3 linked regions of the Oryzias latipes genome follow. The protein of the gene in region 3 interacts with the protein of the main gene of each other region in a pairwise test. Links are inferred from orthologs where the notes say so. Each region holds a gene or a part of one and is shown on either strand. Other genes may lie near its edges.

The links.
Region 1: the proteins of tmcc2 (region 3) and hspd1 interact in a two-hybrid assay, tested with the Homo sapiens proteins (2 studies listed by BioGRID). The two-hybrid records come from large-scale screens. The link is inferred for Oryzias latipes from reciprocal best matches to the Homo sapiens genes TMCC2 and HSPD1.
Region 2: the proteins of tmcc2 (region 3) and iqub interact in a two-hybrid assay, tested with the Homo sapiens proteins (2 studies listed by BioGRID and IntAct). The two-hybrid records come from large-scale screens. The link is inferred for Oryzias latipes from reciprocal best matches to the Homo sapiens genes TMCC2 and IQUB.

What each region holds. Positions count from the first base shown.
Region 1 is NC_019879.2:153,706-160,004, reverse strand, and holds the start of hspd1 (60 kDa heat shock protein, mitochondrial), read right to left. Parts: upstream 4,256-6,299; 5' UTR 4,144-4,255; intron 2,555-4,143; 5' UTR 2,553-2,554; coding exon 2,379-2,552; intron 2,279-2,378; coding exon 1,943-2,278; intron 1,868-1,942; coding exon 1,772-1,867; intron 1,558-1,771; coding exon 1,464-1,557; intron 1,394-1,463; coding exon 1,225-1,393; intron 1,157-1,224; coding exon 1,057-1,156; intron 976-1,056; coding exon 730-975; intron 657-729; coding exon 482-656; intron 412-481; coding exon 233-411; intron 1-232. UniProt on the Homo sapiens protein: Chaperonin implicated in mitochondrial protein import and macromolecular assembly. Together with Hsp10, facilitates the correct folding of imported proteins.
Region 2 is NC_019864.2:6,249,740-6,256,133, reverse strand, and holds the start of iqub (IQ and ubiquitin-like domain-containing protein), read right to left. Parts: upstream 4,256-6,394; 5' UTR 4,024-4,255; coding exon 3,891-4,023; intron 2,554-3,890; coding exon 2,378-2,553; intron 1,334-2,377; coding exon 1,178-1,333; intron 673-1,177; coding exon 462-672; intron 1-461. UniProt on the Homo sapiens protein: Adapter protein that anchors the radial spoke 1 (RS1) complex to the A microtubule of outer doublet microtubules in axonemes. The triple radial spokes (RS1, RS2 and RS3) are required to modulate beating of the sperm flagellum.
Region 3 is NC_019863.2:2,302,133-2,308,478, forward strand, and holds the start of tmcc2 (transmembrane and coiled-coil domains protein 2), read right to left. Parts: upstream 3,707-6,346; 5' UTR 3,406-3,706; coding exon 3,403-3,405; intron 1,126-3,402; coding exon 727-1,125; intron 1-726.

The DNA of each region.
Region 1 (6,299 bases), on a different chromosome or scaffold from region 3:
TGCACCTTCTGCCCACTGTGGTTTCCATGACAACCGTCGCTGGGGGAAATGTCATAACCCTGGTTTTGAAGATGGTACTAAAACAGGGGTGTGGCCTTTTTGATTGACATTTAACAGCTGAGTAATCAGCTGACAGGTATGCGGCCCCACCCACTTGCAGGTTTCAAACAGATGAATCCGGATCTGCCTCTGGCCCCGCCCCCCAACCCCCCAGCTGAACAGACTTGGGTACCTTGGTGGGGTCGATGATGCCCTTCTCCACCATGTTCACGTACTCCCCCTGCATGGCATCGTAGCCCAACTCCGCGCCCCCCTGCAGGATTCTCTCCACCACCAGGGACCCGTCCACGCCGGCGTTCTTGGCGATGGTCATGGCGGGAATCCGGAGGGACCGCCTGATGATGTCCACGCCTGCGCCAGACCAGAGGTTAGCTCCAGACATGGCGGCGGTGCGGCGTGGGGGAGGGCAGCTGTCACTCACCGATCTTCTGGTCGCTGTTGGCCGCTTTGAGAGTGTCCAGGAAGGGGATGCAGCGCAGCAGGGCACAGCCCCCCCCAGGGACGATCCCTTCCTCCACTGCTGCCCGGGTGGCGTTGAGAGCGTCCGTCACCCGGTCCTTTTTCTCGTTCACTTCTACATCTGATGTTCCTCCCACCTGACAAAAGGCCAAAGTGTCAGAAGTCGGCCCCCCACAGGAGAGGACGACCCACCGCGGCGCAGAGCCCCACCTTCAGCACGGCCACGCCGTCCGACAGCTTGGCCAGCCTCTCGTTCAGCTTTTCCTTCTCGTAGTCGCTGGTGGTGCTCTCCAGCTGCTCGGCGATCTCCGCCGCCCGCTTCTCCACATCAGCCGGGTTGCCCCCGCCCCTCAGCAGCAGGGTGTCGTCTTTGGTGATCTGGACTTCCCCCACCTTCCCAAAGTCATGAGCCTGGATGTCCTCCAGGGCTAGACCCAGGGCCTCGTCCCCAAACACCTGCGGGCGGGAGGACAGACGTGTGGAGAAGCTCCCGCTGTTTGACTGACCCCCGCCCCCACTCGGTTAGAGGTGACCTACAGTGCCCCCGGTGGCCACAGCCATGTCCTTCAGCTGGTTTTTCCTGTTGTCCCCGAAGCCTGGAGCTTTGACCGCAACCACCTGAAGCCCCACCTTTAGCCTGCGGACCACAGAACGTTTAGGATCCTCAGAACCGGACCGAGCCTTCCCGATCCGGACCAACCCTACCTGTTTAGGACCAGGGTGCTCAGCGCCTCCCCGTCCACGTCCTCCGCCACGATCACCAGCGGCTTACGGTGCTGGTTGGCGATTTCCAGAGCGGGAACGATGCTCTGCACGCTGGAGATCTTCTTCTCGCTCAGCAGCAGGTAGGCGTCCTGGAACTCACACTTCTGACCTGGTGGCAGTGGGGAGACCGGGGTCAGCGGGGAGCTGCTTCCAGGTGAGGCTGGGGGGAGGAGCCTTACCTTTGGCGGTGTTGATGAAGTAGGGAGAGATGTAACCGCGGTCAAACTTCATGCCCTCGATGATCTCCAGCTCGTCCTGCAGCGTTTTCCCGTCCTGCGGCAGAAGGAATGAATGTTAACCAGAAAGCTTCTAGACGCCGTCAAAGGTTGGACAATGAGGACACAGGAAGTCCTCTCAGAGGCTTTGGTCCAACCCCCCATGTATGGACGCAGAACGTGCTGCCATCATTTGCCACATAACGGTCATCCAGAACCGGAGGATGTTCTCCACTCCGGTGGGTGGACTCCTCGCAGCCCCTCCCCCTCACCTTCACGGTGATGACTCCTTTGCGGCCCACTTTCTTCATTGCGTTGGAGATGATGTTTCCGATCTCCGTGTCTCCATTGGCTGAGATGGTTGCGACCTGAAACGACACGCGTGATGAGTGAGGGTGACCGTGTGGAGACGGCGTCAGGACAACCGGATGCCCTTCCCAGACCTGTGCGATCTCCTCTGGGGTGGTGACGGGCTTGGAGAGTCTCTGCAGCTCGCCGATGACCGCCTCCACCGCCATCATGACGCCGCGGCGGATCTCCACAGGGTTTGCACCTTTGCTGATGTTGTCGAAGCCCTCCTTGGCGATGGCTCTGGCCAGCACCGTGGCGGTGGTGGTGCCATCGCCAGCCTCCTCGTTGGTGTTGTTTGCCACATCCTGCACCAGCCTGGCACCGATGTTCTTGTACTTGTCCTTCAGATCGATGCTCTTGGCCACCGTCACGCCGTCCTTGGTGACCTTGGGGCTGCCCCAGCTCTGCTCGATGATGACAGTGCGTCCCTGGACCGGGAAGACGATGCTTAAAACATTCGACTGGAGCACTTTCACACCTTTCCTGTTCTGTTTCCAAACCTAATCCACCCGTCAGCGGGTTTGTTACCTTTGGGCCCATGGTGACGGCCACAGCATCCGCCAACAGGTCCACCCCCTGCAGCATGAGCGCCCGAGCGTCCGCCCCGAACTTCACGTCCTTGGCGTAGGCCCGTGTGAGATGAGGGGCCAGCGCCCGGCTCACGGGCCTCACCTGCCTCATGACTGTCGCTAAACGAAACATCTCTGTGGAGAAAAGCAGTGAAGCCATTGAGGATCCTACAGGACCAGCAGTACCGCCCGGTGGTCACCAGTGGAATTACAGTGAGCGGGAACTTAAGCAAACCCACGTGACACGCAGCATCTAAGCATCCTTAAGATGCAGACTGAGCACAAGCAAGCAGTTAATTTTTACCAGAAACATCATCTGAAACTGGGAATTTGTGACCAAGTTCAGAACATCCTGCTTAAATTGTGGGGGGAGAGGAAAGTAACTTCATCTGTGCTGCATGTCTGTCTTGTGTCTGCAGCATATTTGACAACAAAGCTGACTTTGACTTGTTTCTCCTCAGTCGGCCTGATCTTGGTTCAGCAGCATTTCAAACTGTAACAAGCGGGTCACACTCATTTTCACTGAGGGCCACATCAGCATAGTGTCTGTCCTCAAAGGGCCAGATGTAACTTATACATGTAACTAAATGTAATGAAAATAAATGCAACTACTCCTTAATGATAAATAACTCATTATTTATTTATTATAACTTTTTAAATTGACAATTCCAGCTGCATAGAAAACATATGTTTGCTTGTTATTCTAACACAAATCCTTTTACATTTGATTCTGTCAGGTTAGGTTATGTGGACAGTGTTTAAGTCCTGATGTATAGATGACCAATCCAACATTTAAATCCAATTCCCCCCAGATATGAATAAATACACACCAATGTTTATTTTTTATTCCAAGAAATTAAACACCTTTATGTTCTCGTGGGCCACATAAAATGACACGGAGGGCCACATTTGGCCCCCGGGCCTTGAGGTTGACACATGCTGTAGACGGTCAGGTTAAAGCCAGAAACGCTCCACCATCATCAGCTCCAATGGAGCATCCAGAACCCAGCCCGACATTCCCGCAGCTTCCATGCGTCCAGACGGGAGGAGGTAAGGGGGCGGAGTCAAGGACACGGCCTCGGGCCCGAACTTCTGATTGGTGGAGTATAACTGATGGGACCCTCCAAGCTGCCTCTCATTCATTCCTACGGTGACAGATCTGCTACCATTTCCTCAAACACGCCTTTTAAAATGACCGAAATACCAAAAGATAAACTTTAGTTTCCAGAACAACAGCGGCTGTTACAGTTTTCGGAATAATAATTGCAGCTTATTTCATTCAAATGAAGCTTTTCATGAATAAAGGATTCTTAACCCCTCCTGGGGGCACTAGAACCTGGTCCTACCGGGTAACGCCTGGTGAGAACCAGTCTGAGGGGTTATTAAAGCCCCACATGCCCCGCAGTCTGCTCACAGCCCCCGGTTCCCCACGTGAGCTCCTCCGGTCGTACGTCACAAGGTCAAACGTTAGAGCTCGTGCCGGCTCCCTGGACGGATTCCCTCAGCCGCTCCAGAGTAACGGGATTACACGGGGGTAACTGAGTATTTGACACGTCCCTGCCGCGGTCCCGGAATCATCAGGACGAACCGGTCCGCATACGCCAGAACCGGCTGTTCAGACAAACCCGAGCTCGGTTCTGTTCGGTTCTCCACGCACCGACAGGACAAAGTGCCGCGCGCGCAGAGACGGATCCCTGCTGCGGGTTCGGACGGTCGGTTCTTACCTGACAGGGAACCGCTGCGATCTGCCGCACGCGCTGCACGAGTGATCTAACGGAGAATACCGCACGTGGGGAATCACATCCGGGTTATGTACGGCCCCGCCCAGAACTCTGTATGACGCATAACTACTTCAATAAAACTTCTCTTTTACGTTCAAGTTGTTATCCCCGTCTTTAATCTTCATGGAGACGTTTATTCATACCTGCGCAGAATGTTCTGATCATTTATTCTCACATGAACTTTGTTACAACTAACAGAGAAACGCAGCAACGCACACTTATGCTGGTTCCTGGGCTACGATTCCAGAATTTTCCGTACCCCATTGGAGGAAAAAAAAGAGGTCAAAGGTCACATTGTGCAACATTGCGCGAGCCCGTAGAGAGTGACTTTGAAACGAAATCACCGTTTCAATGACAAATGCGGCCTAGATAGACCGGAACTGTAGGTACGGGTCTGCCTGCAGCCCCGCTGTTCTGGAGCTTTCTGTCAGCGCCTCGTTACTGCGCATGCGCGATCTGGAGGCTTCCCTCACGTGGAGACAAAGTGCAGACGGTCCGAAGCTCTCTCAGTGAAGACGTGCAGCTCTGCGCAAGCGCTCAAAAATGGTGAGGAGAGAGAAAATGATGGGATTTCTGGTTGTTTACAGCATTTAACGTCTGTCTCTGTTAGCGCGCGGGGGGGGGGGGGGGGGGGTAGTGATTGGGCTAACGATGATGACCACCACGCGCAAGGTCACGCGTCCGGTGTGCTATCCGCCGGTTCCGTTAAACCAGCTCCGTGCACTGCGCCCCATTCAGCTTATGGGACGGCGTTCGGCGCGGCGTGCCTTGCTCAAGGACACTTCCATAAGACACCGACCAGCTGCTGAACCGCGTCATCGGGTTAGCCTGGAGTGGATCGGGTTAGAAGCGAGTCAAAGACCACAGCAGCCCACGTGCTTCTTTTTTCAGACTGCGGGATCAACACCGTGAATATCTTAAGGACAGTAGTGCGTGTACACGGATGTGCGTGCACGTGTCCTGCTGGTCACCTGGTCAGGTGTGTTTAGCCAATAAGGAGCTTGAGCGGCAGGTTGGTTAGAACATGTAGGACACCGGCCCTCCAGGCCTGGATTTGGGGCCCCTGCTCTGGAGGGTCCTCGGCCTGTGGGACCTCTTCCTGGGGTCCAGGTGCTGCTCCAGGGCGCCACCTGCTGTCGGGTTTGGATGCCGTGGATGCCTGCTGTGGTTTTTGGGTGGTTCGGCCCGGTTCTCCTCTCGGTTCGGGTCAGTTTTAGTCTGGTCGGGGGGTGTCTTAAAGTCGGACCTCTTCTCTCTGAGTTTCCCTCTGACGTAGGTCGGATTCAGACTCGGGTTTGAAGGTTTCATTGCGTCTTCATGCAGTTCTGCTGTGGGGGCGGGACGGTTGATGAGCCGGCTCCTCCGTGTTTGGGTCGGGCAGCATGGGTGGAGCCTGTGGAGACTGGAATGAGCCGGAGAGGCTGTTTGCTCAGGATCTGGGGGGGGGGGTGTCCTCGGCCTGCCTGCTCTCAGGGTAAACGGGCTCATCCAACGGCAGCATCCGGCTGAAGGACGGCGTTTCCACTGACCTGGACCCCTTCAGCTGTTCTAGACCTTAAGCTGTTCTCCACAGAACAGCTGATGCTGCAGGCGACCTTCTGTGGTGTCATCAGTAAGGGGGCGGGGACTGTGGCAGCTGCCTGCTGATGGCTTCACGCCGTGCAGAAGGCCAAAGCAGAACTTTGTCTGTGATGCTCTGTGGGTCTCAGCCGACCCGCTGTTCTGGCAGAGTCTGACCTCTCTTCAGAGCCGGTCTTCCGTTTGAACTCTGTGACCCCGTCTGAGCGTGCACGTCTGTCTGTCTCACCTGCAGGCCTTCAGGAAGTTCCTCCCTCTGTTCGACCGCGTGCTGGTGGAGCGTCTCATGGCGGAAACCGTCACCAAGGGGGGCATCATGCTGCCGGAGAAGTCTCAGGGGAAGGTGCTGCAGGCCACCGTGGTGGCGGTCGGGCCCGGCTCCATGAACCAGGTAACGTGCTGGACCACGGCGCACGCCCCACGCCACAAGAGAACATGTGAAGCTGCTCCCTGAAGGAAAGAGCAGATAGAAGCTAGAAGAGCTACCCCCCCCCCCCCCCATCCTCACTCATGAACCAACA
Region 2 (6,394 bases), on a different chromosome or scaffold from region 3:
TATACGAGGCATTGATTACATCCTGTGCCCCTGCTAATTACAAGTAAAGTAAAAACATGGGCAGTTTAGACTTCAGAATCCACTAAACAGATCCATTTCCTGCTGTTTTGTAGGCAGAGATGCAACACTGTCCTAATGTAATTACAGAATAAATCTGCTTTCTAAAGTGGAAAGTACTCTAGTTTTATTTGTGCCTACTCATTCACAAAAGCTGTAGTCATTAAAATGTAACACTTAGGTCCCCAATCTCTGCTAAATTCCCACTGAGCATTACATCTTTCAATATTGTCTAAGCAATATTTTATTTAAATGTTCAAGGAGTTCAAATATGGAAGATTTTTGCATGTCGCCCTTTCTTGCATGTCTTGCATCTATGCAGTTTCCTGAAATGAACATGATATAGCATAATCTGTGAATCATTCATCAGACACTCAAGAGTAGAAATAGGACAATGGGCTTACTCTCCAAAGCCTTGTACAGCAGGTTGAAGTCCTCCCTCCTTTTAGGGTTCATACGGCGTTGGTACAGATCCCTCTGCTGATCCTCCTTTTCACTCTCCCTTCTCCTTTCTTGCATTTCAAGCCAAGCCAACTGCCGGCTTTGTTCATTTCTCAGCTGGTCCACTGCTTTTTGGGCTAGCCAACGACGAGCAAGTGATTGCAAAAAGATGACCTGTGCAATGTAAATATATGGAGGATTATGTAATACATGATGTTAATATCTAGGTTTAGTACGTTAAGTATGCTAATGAGTTATTAAGTATGGTGTGAGCTCCGAGACAGACATAATTTTGAGTTTACAGTTAGGACATGCCAAAGACATGTCAGAATCTCAACATCATGACTGCGGGGTGGGGGGTGAGGGTACAAAAAACCTTATGTTTGTCAAGCATGGCTGTAACTGAGGGTTACACATTGTGGTCACAACTAATTTAACTTGCTCCCAAAATACTATTTTTAAGCACAACTGCATTAGAAATATAAATAGTTCAACCCTTAATGCAAATTAAGATATTGGCAAATATTTCACTCTTTCAGATGTATTTGACTGTGTGCCCACAGGTTTACAGTATGAAGAACACTTATCAGGTAATTTTTACATTTTTATTATCATTTCTTTAAAACATTTCTTACATGCACAACAAAAACAAAACCTGGTTATTCACAAAAACACTTACGGCCCTCAGCTTTCTGTCATGCCATTCATCAGCAGTGATGTATTTCCCAGGAGTGACCAGCTTGTCTTTCATACATGAGACATAACAGCCGATACCAGCCATCTGGGTGGAAGTGTTGACTAGACACTGCTGGTTGTGAGATTTCAATCGAACCGTCTGTTAAAAGAACAAAACAGAAGCAATGACTAAAGTCTAATGTGTTTCTCTGCCTTGACATGTATGGTAGAAAACAGTGAAGTGATTTATACATTTGTCAAAGCAAATATGATGTTACTGCATTTACAGTCTTTACTAATTCTAGTTTTCTATAGTTTATTTTACATACTCAATTTCAGAAACCATCCAACAATTTATTTATGTACAACTATGTCTCAAAAATCCATAAATACAGTTTGTTCTGGTGGTAAGGTCCTTTACTTTATCAAAAAATACCAAGTGCCCTCATCCTTTGCAAAACACTTGATGGCAGCAAAAAAGAATCAAGGCATCATTACAGTCCTTGTTTTTGTTCCCCCTTTGCCATATCCCTTCAGGGTTTGCCATTCAATCAGCTTTTACTGATTCGCACAGGTGGTTTGGCAGAGATTTTTACGCCGGATGCCCTTACTGACACATCTTTATATTTTTTCCGGGCTAGGGACCGGCACACGCCTTGTGGCTACATGGTTAGGCAGTAACCCGAAGGGTTTGCCCAAGGACTTTCACTGGATGAAGCTCATTGCACCCCTGGGAATAAAACCCCAGACATCAAGCCATCACGTGTAGAAACACTTTGAATTTAGCAAAGTCATGTGACCATCCAGTGTCTAGAATGTTCTGATAATGTTCCCTTTGAATTCTTTGGAGGTGGAAAAACGTGGACTGAACTTTAGGACACTAACATGTGAATGGATTTGACATTCATTCTAGTTTACTTGTTTGTTTGGACACAGATTTAATCTATACTTGATGATCTGGAAGAAATCCAAGAATCTGGAAAACTTCACTGTTCAGTGGCAGGATGTTCTGTCTGAGTCACACTGGTGGAGGTTTTGGATAAAGATGTTCTGGATCCACTTTAGGTCAGTGATTTGGATCAAATCGAATCGTTCCAAATGAACCAATATTGACTATGAACCGTATCATCAACCACAAATGATGGTGTTTAATCATTGTTTATATTAATCTTTAGATCCCTATTATTTAAGTTCTGTTCTTTACCTGTGAGTCCCGACTAAAGACAGTCATGCCTCTGTCAGGTTTTTTGCGGGGGAGGGTTTGGACAGCAGCATGGTGGTACTCGGTTCCTGTCAACTGGTGGCGGTATCCACCAAGAAAAGCCTTCTGCTTGTAGGAATGCTCATTCTTCACCACCACAAACTCCACTCCAGCACAATCTGAAAGTGCATTAGTAAAAGATACACAGTGTAAATAATTAACAAGCTGGCAAACTTTAAGGTACAGAATGACGCTATCACAATTAGGTTAAGTGGAAAAGAAATCATGATTATTCTGAACTATTTTTAATATTTATTTGTCTGTTCAATTATTTCTGTCTTGTTTCCCTTTTGCTCAATACTGTACAAGAAAAAAAGATTTGAAATATTTGTTTCACAGCTTTTTGTTAGAATACCCATGCGATTCATAATAACATTGAGCAGTTATTGTTATTGTTGGAGCAATTTAAAGACACTTAAGTCTTTAACAAGGAAATAATGAAAAAATTCTAATGGGTCAAAGTTTTCCCCGCACGTCCTGCTAGTCTTGAAATCGGGAGAAATAACGAAGTGACCATGGACTGTGGTACAGAGAGATGAGTTTAATGCTATGTAAAAAGAAGAAAATGTGTCCTCTTCAGAGAAAAATGGGGGGGGGGGGGGGGCATACAGATAAAAAAGCACTTTTGCTGCACAAAAACAGATTATGTTTTTTCAGGCCACAATCTAATTCCAGCGCACAGTTTACTAATCTGTGCTCACGGTTTATCAGATTTTTTTTCTTTTTAACCACTGGCACCTGAAGGGCTCAATAGTTTTCCTTTATTTTTCAAGAAGAAAATTATACCCAACATGTGATCACTTAAAATGCCATAACTTTCTTATTTTCTGAATGATTTTTATTGGAAAGGTTTCTGTAACCCAGGACTGCTCATCCCCGGTTCTGGAGATCTACCCCCCTGCCTGTTTTCCAGCTCTCCCTGCACTGCTTGCTGCTGATTACCTGGACCAGGTTTGTTCAGTCAATCAGTGTGGAGACATCTGATTGAACTAATCAGCAGCTAGCAGGACTATATATATATAATAATATTAATCATGTTAATTTCCTTTTTAATTCATAACTAGTAACTACTATGTAAGGAATAACAAGTGTCTGTGGAGACCTGATTGTGTCAGATGGTTGCTTCTGTGAAGTCCATTCATTTCTGATAATCAACACTGAATAACATTATAATTAGATTTAAGTAGAGATTTAAGCTTAAATCGTTTTTCACAAAAAGCAAACTATTTAAAACATGAGCAATGGGCTGCCGTGGTGACGGCCTTAGTGCATCAGCATTGCTCAGCCCGCTCCTCTGAACATCATCACACGTTAAACATAGCATCATTTCAGTGGGAAAGTTCACTGTTAATAAATTGCACACACACACAAAAAAAATCCAAAGACAGCACTTCAGAAAAATGGTACTGTCACTCAACTAAGGTGTGTGTCTGCCCCCACCAGCAGGGGGCCTTACCTGCAAGAACCGGTTCTTCCTCATGTCCCAGAGCTGGCGGCTCCAAAGCTCCAACTTTGCTGAGTTGAGGGTTTGCTGTTTCATCCACCTCTTCTTGTTTTACACATTCTTTTAGAATCTGGCTTTGTTCCATTGGAGTCTTTCTCAGTGTTTCTTTAGAGATAAACCGCCACCTTACTGGGAAAAGCAGAATCAGACTAGAAAGGACCAGCAGAATTATGAACGTTCAGTTTCCCCCCAATTTGAGGATCAATGTAGCAATCGAAACGCGGCAAGCTTTGGACCGGTGGGAAGCTGCAGTGTACGCGTTGTTATGGCAACAGAAAGGAACGCCTGCAGTCCAGCAGACCGCACGCGGGCGGTCCAGCCTCGCGCATGCTCACACCTCGCGCTGCCGCCTGCTCATTCCTTGTGGCTGCCACGGCCGTTTAAGAAGTTTCTTTTGTTTCAAATTAATATTTGTGTCACAAGCCACCTGTCTCTGTTTGGACTCCATTACAGCCGCGATTTTAACATTTTAGTGACAAACATTTTAGTTTTGGGAAAGATAGGTGGAGACGAAAACTCGGGTTCAATAGAGCTCGAGCAACAGAAAGCATCCGAGAAACTAGTCACAAAAGCGGATTTGTTTGTTCTGATGATGGTCCGACAACACTGACGCTTCGGCTCACGTGTCGAGCTCATAAAGTGAAACCCCGTGTAGGTGCGTGGATCGCTTCAGAAGAAGTCACGTGACCGATGCAGCTACTGTGTTGGTGTGTCACAGGAGCCAAACAAGGAAGGAAGGAACCAGCAGTGTTGCCGGATTATGCGGTTTTCCACCCAATTTGGTGGGTTTGATTTTGTGAAGAATAGTTGATGTGGCGGTTTTCGCGTCAATTTGGCAGGTTTCAGTTAGTTTTATTACGAGTCTTTTATCATCACCATCTTTTATTTTGATAGACATTTTATTTTGAAACATTACCGGATCTTCTTGGGTATATTACTGTCACCTGGGTGCTAATCAGTCCAACGGTGAGTTTAACAGGGTTGGGATAACTTTGGAGCGATATTTCTGCCACAACATTGCACACAAAACTTTCAACTTTTAAGTTGCAAATGAAAATATTAAATATTTGCTTTTCAATTATTTTTTTATTTTGCTTTTCTTCTTCTTTCTCTTTCGGCTTTTCCCATCAGGGGTCGCCACAGCGAATCATCCTTTTCCACCTCACTCTATCATGGACATCTTCTACCCTAACATTAGCCAACTTCATGTCCTCTGTTAAGACATCCATGTATCTCCTCTTTGGCCGTCCTCTTGCCCTCCTGCCAGGCAGCTCCATCTCCAACATCCTTCTACCAATATATCCACTATCCCTCCTCTGAACATGTCCAAACCATCTCAGTCTGGCTTCTCTGACTTTGTCGCTGACACAGGCAACATGAGCCGTCCCTCTGATGTACTCGTTCCTTATCCTGTCTAACCTGGTCACTCCTAAGGAGAACCTCAACATCTTCATCTCTGCTACCTCCAAATCAGCCTCTTGTCTCTGTCTCACTGCTACCGTCTCTAACCCATAGAGCAGAGCTGGTCTCACCACTGTCTTGTACACCTTTCCTTTGAGTCTTGCTGGCACTCTTCTGTCACACAACACTCCTGACACTTTCCTCCAACCGCTCCAACCTGCCTGCACTCGCCTCTTCACCTCTTTTCCACAATCCCCATCACACTGAACTGTTGACCCCAAGTACTTAAACTCCTGCACCTTCTTCACCTCAGTCCCCTGTAACCTAATGCTTCTACCTTGATCCCTCTCGTTCAGACACATGTATTCTGTCTTACTACGACTGACCTTCATACCTCTTCTTTCCAGAGCAAACCTCCACCTCTCTAGCTGTTCCTCCACCTGCTCTCTACTCTCACTGCAAATTACAATGTCATCCGCAAACATCATTGTCCAGGGAGATTCCTGTCTTACCTCGTCTGTCAGCCTGTCCATCAGCATAGCAAACAAAAAAGGACTCAAAGCTGATCCTTGGTGTAGTCCCACCTCCACCTTGAACTCCTCTGTCTGACCTACAGCACATCTCACCACCGTCATACTTCTCTCATACATGTCCTGAACTACTCTGACATACTTTTCTGCCACTCCAGACGACCTCATACAGTACCACAGCTCCTCCCTCGGCACCCTGTCATACGCCTTCTCTAAATCTACGAACACACAATGCAGCTCCTTCTGACCTTCTCTGTACTTTTCCATCAACATTCTCAAAGCAAAAATGGCATCAGTGGTGCTCTTACGGGGCATGAAACCATACTGCTGCTCACAAATCTCCACCTTCTTCCTAAGCCTGGCTTCCACTACTCTTTCCCACAGCTTCATTGTGTGGCTCATCAACTTTATTCCTCTATAGTTGCTGCAGTTCTGCGTGTCACCCTTGTTCTTAAAGATTGGGACCAGAACGCTTCTCCTCCATTCCTCAGGCATCTTCTCACTCTCTAAAATCCTATTGAACAA
Region 3 (6,346 bases):
GCAGCAACTCACTGCATGTAAGCGTGGTCCAGATGATCTGCTGCAGTTCAAACCCCGTATCAGAACGGAGAAGAAAAGGGATTGAAGTGACTTTGAACGTGGTTTATGGTGCCAGACAGGCTGGTCTGAGTATTTCAGAAACTGCTGATCTACTGGGACGTTCCCCCACAACCATGTATAGGGTTTACAGAGAATGGACAGAAAAAGAGAAAATATTCAGTGAGCTGCAGTTCTGTGAACAGAAATGCCTCGTTGATGCCAGAGGTCAGAGGAGAATGACCAGACTGGTTCCAGCTGATAGAAAGACAACAGAAACTCAAAGAACCACTGGTTCCAATTGAGGTCTGCAGAAGAGCATCTCTGAACGCACATGTCCAGCTTGGAGGCAGATGGACTACAGCAGCAGAAGACCACACCAGGTACCACTCCTGTCAGCTAAGAACAGGAAACTGAGGCTACAATTCACTCAGACTCACCAAAACTGGACAATAGAAGATTAGAAGAACGTCATCTGGTCTGATGAGTCTCCATGTGTAGCTGACAAATCTGCAGCAACTGTGTGATGCTGTCATGACATTATGGACCAAACTCTCTGAGGAATGTTTCCAGAACCTTGTTGAATCTATGCCACCAAGGATTAAGGCAGTTCTGAAGGTCAAAGGGGTCAAACCCAGAGCTAATAAAGTGGCCTGTGAGTGTAATCTGTGTAAAAATGGTCCATCTTACCTGCTCAATCTCCTTTAACTTCTTGTGATAGTGCTCAAGTTTCTTGTGCAAGTGTGCAATGGACTGTGCAGACTTCTGGTTCTTCTTTTCAAACACCTGCTTGATTCTGGAGGCCTGCTGTTTGTCCGCGTTATGGGCCAGCTTCAGGTACTCCGCCACGTTGTCATCGCGAGCCTCCTGCTCCACCCGGATCTGTTCTGTGACCTTCAGGATCTTCTGCTGCAGGTGCTCCAGAGCTGCACGTGTCCGCGGCGGCTCACCAGCCGCTGAGCCCTCAGCTCCACTCGCCACAACCGCAGCCGCTGTGGCCCCCGCTCCATCCGTGCTGATGTTGGTGTCAGAGCCACCATGGCTGCTGGTGGATGGTAGCCCCAGGGTCGAAACCTCACTCTTGTCCAGCTGAGGAGACATGAGCACAGGTCAGAGCCACAAAGGTCAGGCTGAAAACCAAACACTTAGGTTGTATTTTATCCAATCTTCCTTTAAACCAGAGGCCTGCATCCCTTAACCCTTGTGCTATCTTAGATGACCCCACCCTTACATTGACATGTTCTCTCTACCATGACAAAGGTGGATAAAGGTGGAAAGATTTCATGTAATCCATGGACACCAGTGAAGATCACAAATCATTGAAGAAAAAAGGTTCAGAGCACTGTCTAGTGGGTCTAGATGACCCAACTCCCAACGTTAAAGGGACTAGGATAGCACAAGGGTTAACGCTAAAAAATTCATTTGGTCCAGTTTCTTACAGAGTAAAGTCCAGCGAGAGCCAAAAACTCCTACCTCATCGTTTAAAATAAATATACATAATTTATGAATTGGTAACCATTCAGCCATTTACATTTATGAAATGTAGCTTTTAAATATTTACAATCATTAATATTATAGTGATAAAAATATTGTAATATTTTGTATACAACACTTAAAACAAGTTCCTTCTCAAAAATAAAATACACATGGTGTCAAATAAGACACAGATCTGCTGCAGCACATTTTACAGAATAAAAAATGCTAAATAATCGAGTCAAAGAGGATTTTTTCTATTATTCTGACCTCCTTTTTCTCCTTTTCCTATCATTTATAGACATGACAACATTGGTATAGAATCAAAATATCAAAAATATATGAATAAGTAACTGCAATTGTGTACTTCAGGAACTTGGTGTCTGAACAGCAACGACAGTGTTGTGCAGCAGAAGACAAGAGAACGTGGTTATCATTTTGCTCAGTTTTCTGACATGTAAAAAATCGAAACATAAATGACGTCCCTAGAGCCACAAGGGAGGAATAGAAAAGCCACCTGTGGACCACAGGTTGCTGACCCCTGCTTTTCAAATATGAGCAGACAGAAGTTATTTAATATTTAAGGCACAACATGGAAGGAAAATTTGAATTATTTTGAAGAGTAAAATGAAACTAACACGAAAGAAAATGATCACGAATTTGAAGTAATGACATAAGGCGTTTCAATAGTTTTGGATTCTTGTTCCACCAAGAGGAAATTCCAAGGCTTTCCAATCAATCCGAATGAGGTGGCAGAGAGGACAGGTAAAGGTGTGTTTGTCAGATTCTGTCTGTGTTGCCTGGATTGCTCCTTGGCTTCATTTAAAGGGTAATAAACAGGTTTTGCCAAGAAACAATCAAATTGTTGATTTAACATCTATTAAACACGCATTTCCTGCCTCTTGTGCTGTTAGCAACAACAATAAAGACTTGAAGGCTTTAAGGGGATTTTTTAGGGGTTTTCGGAGCATCTCAGTAGCAGCAAACACGTGAAAAACAAAGTGAAAGAGCTGAGCATGAACTGAAGCGGCCTGACTCATGGAGGAGCTCTAACAGCTCAGGCAGCAGAGAGCTGAGTGCAGCGGCCATCTTTATTAATTATGTGAAGCATAATTCTAGTTTCCTTCAGCAGAGCCTCAGAGCCTTACCCTAAAAACTGAAGATGACTTTTCTTATCAAATGCATGGATGGATGGAGATCTACCAGATCAGAGCTGTCCTTCTCTGAGGACAATCCTCCGGGACCTGCAGTGCCCCCCATGTGGGGGATTCCCTGCTCTGAATGCTGGGTGCAGCTGCATGGGGGGGGGGGGGGGGGTCTGGTTTGACTCCCCCGCCTGAAGCCAACACACCGCAATCTGACGCCTCAGAGCTGGAGCGCGCCAGCGGACGCATGACACCGACACGTCTATTTTTGCGCTGGAGCTGCGCGCCTGTGTGAGAGGAGCGAGCACGCGCGCGTTGGCTCTTCAAAGCGGGTTAGAATGGTGTCGGGGCAGATTCCAGATGAGCGCCGCGCGCGCAGATTAGTCCCGTCCTGATCTTGGGAGGGAAAGTGAGAAGCTAAGATGAGGCTTGCAGCATGGGACAGTAGGGGGGGGGGGGGGTGTCAGCATTGGCCCAGATACCAAACACAGAGCTGGGGGGTGGGGGGTGGGTGTCATAACATGCCTGAAGTTTGTAGTGTAAAAGCACACGGACGGCGCGGCGGAGGAGAGCCGAGCTGAGATGAAGATGGAGATGGCAGAAAACAACAGGACGTGGTCTGTCTGTGGCTTCCTGGAGACACACTGTGACACGAGAGATGGATGTCAACACGCGTGGATGTGGACGCACGAGGACGACACACACGCAGCACAGCGACGACAACAAAATATTCAATCAGAAACGTTACCATACTGCTTTAATCCAATTTTTGCAGCGACATTGCAAGTGTCTGTTCGAGGCCCATCCTCCTCCTCCTCCTCCTCTCTCCCTCCTCCCTCTTTGCACACCAAGGAGCAGCCCCCCTCCTCAAATGAGTCTGCTCCCAGCAGCTATCGCGCGCGCCATCACCGCTCCGGATTCTAACGCTCCATCGTTAACGACATCAGCATCCACAGCCTGCTCCCTCTGCGCTCGTCTGTTTTCCTCCCTCTCCTTTGTGTCGTACGACCACCCCCCCCTCCTCCTCCTCCTGCCGCCTCCCTCTGCTTCACCCTCCGCCCCGCTCTCCCTCCGCATCTCTCTGTCTGCGCAAATGGGAGCAGTTCTGCCCTGTAATGGATGAGGGAGCAGCAGGACAGATGATGGAGGGAATGGACAGAAGGAGGTGGGGGGAGGCTCAGCAGAGGGAGGGAGGGAGGGTGGCTCCAGGCCTGCACCTTGAGTGCAAACAGCCTGTGTGACTGATGCCAACACACACACACACACACACAGTGACCACCTCCCTTTTCTTGTGTGCTCATCACAGAAGATGAAGGAGGAGGCGCCACCACTGAGAACTTGTTGGAGTGTCCTCTGAAGATGTCAGTGTGTGTGTGTGTGTGTGTGTGTGTGTGTGTGTGTGGGTGTGTGTGTGTGTGTGTGTGCATGTGTGCAGGAGGATGGAGGCTGAGCGCACATGAAAGCAAGCTTTCATCAACACCTTCAAAAGCAGCTCCGGTCCAGAGAAGCTCAGGTTCCTCCTCTTTCAGGTGCAGCAGAGGAGCGTGGGAGAAGCGCTGAAGCTGTCAGGGAGGCTCCAGAAAAATCTGCTGCCCAGCAACAAACCAAAAACTGAAGACCTACAGTGGAGGAAAGAAGTGTTGCCGGTCTTGTTGTCTATTTTGAAAAATTGTGGACTTGGGCCCCTTTTGAACTAACCGATTCAAATGTCTTCTAAATCATTCCGATTTGGTGGCTGTTGCTTGGCAAAGCTGAGCTTCAGTTCTCTCCACAGGTTTTCTACAGGACTGAGGTCCAGAGACTGGCTGGACCGCTCCATGACCACGATCTGCTTCTTCAGCCTTGGTTGTCTTGGCTGTATGTTTTGGGTCAAGGTCCTGTTAAGAGCCACCCATCCACCACACATTTGGAGGTAAGCACATCCTCCCATCCACACGGGGAAGTTGCCCTGTGCAGAAAAAGCTCCCCACAGCATAATGCTTCCACCTCCATGCTTGACAGTGGGGATGGTGTTCTTGGGGTCAAAGGCAGCATTTCTCTTCCTCCAAACAAGACGGCTTGAGTCGGTAGATGCCAAAGAGCTCGTTGTTTGGTCTAATCTGACCACAGCACCTTCTTCCAATCACTGTCCAGTCATTAAGGTGTTCCCTGACACACTTCAGGTGGGCCGGCACATCTGCCTTCCTCAGCAGGGGGACTTAGCACTCTCTACTAGATGTCAAACCATTGCAGCATAAAGTATCACCAATGGTTTTCTTGGTGACTGTGGTCACAGCTGCTTTCAGATCATCAGCCCACTCCTGCCGTGTTGTTTTAGGCCAATTTCTCTCTGTTCTCATGATCATGGAAACCGTTTCCACCAGGACAGATCTGGTTTGGAGCCCCAGACCTAAAGGTCCACTGATGATTATGTTCTTGTGTTTTGGCAGAATTGCACCAACAATTGTCATGGTAACCCCCAGCTTCTTGCTGATGGTTTTGTTGTCCATCAGTTCTACAATCTTCTCCCTTAGATCCAATGAAAACTCTTTAGTCTTTTCCATGTCTGATGGACTCTGGACAGGTGTCTTTTCTACAGGCGTCTTCAATTCAGGTGACAGGTTGAAGAGGAGAGTCTAACTGGTCTGTGTGAACCAGAACTCTTAATGGTTGCTAGGGGATCAAACACTGGAGTCCCTTGATGAAATCTAAATAAATGTATATACGTTTGTTTGATGTGCTTTGTGATTTTCTATCTCTCACTGTTCAAATAAATCTACAGATGACAGATTGTCCTCTATTGTACCTGCAGAACATATTGGGAATTTCCTCCAGAACAGACATATAACACTAAAGCAGATTGCCATAAAATGCAAAGTAAAGCCAACAGAGAGAAGGCTGCAGTTGATCTGCTGGAGGGGGCGAGGACGGATCTCCATTCACTGTTTTTACGCCTCCTCTCTGCTCTTTGTCTCTTTCTTTTACTTGTTTAACTATAATCAGGATTGCAGCAAGAAGTATCACCAATGGTTTTCTTGGTGACTGTGGTCACAGCTGCTTTGAGATCATCAACCCACTCCTGCCGTGTTGTTTATTACCTCAACTCCCAGCACGAATAACCCAACAATTGTGTTGAAGAAAATAAAGGTGTGTGTAGAAAAACACAGATAAAACTCCTTCAGCGCTTCATCACCTCTTCCTCTCCTTGGATTGAGTTAGGATCCAGAAAAACCATCAGCCTTTTATTTCAGATTTATCACGGATCCACACAAACACGATGAATAACACAATAAATAAGAGTCGACTCCTGAGGAGCTGAAAAGTGATCGCATGACCAGAAGCATCAGCAGAAGTGCATTGGGGCAGGTTTGCTCTTTTCGAAGCCGTCAGTTCATACATGATTAAAGTGACCTTACATGACTCTCATCCAGATTAGGCGGAGCAGCAGGATTTGCTGGACAGATATGTCGTTTACAAGCGGAGAGCAGTAGTTCCATCCATGACACCTTTGCTCCTGATGGAAAAACCTTCCTCACGAATACATTTGGACCTGAAAATACTGTTCCTGATCGTCCTTTACGCACCTTAAAATACCTACAAGTACAACTTCTGTGCAATACTGCAATGTTTTTAGATTTATACTACTCAAATACATCTGATATATGCTGAATATATATCTATAACCCTTGTGCTATCTAGTAGGGTCCAGATGA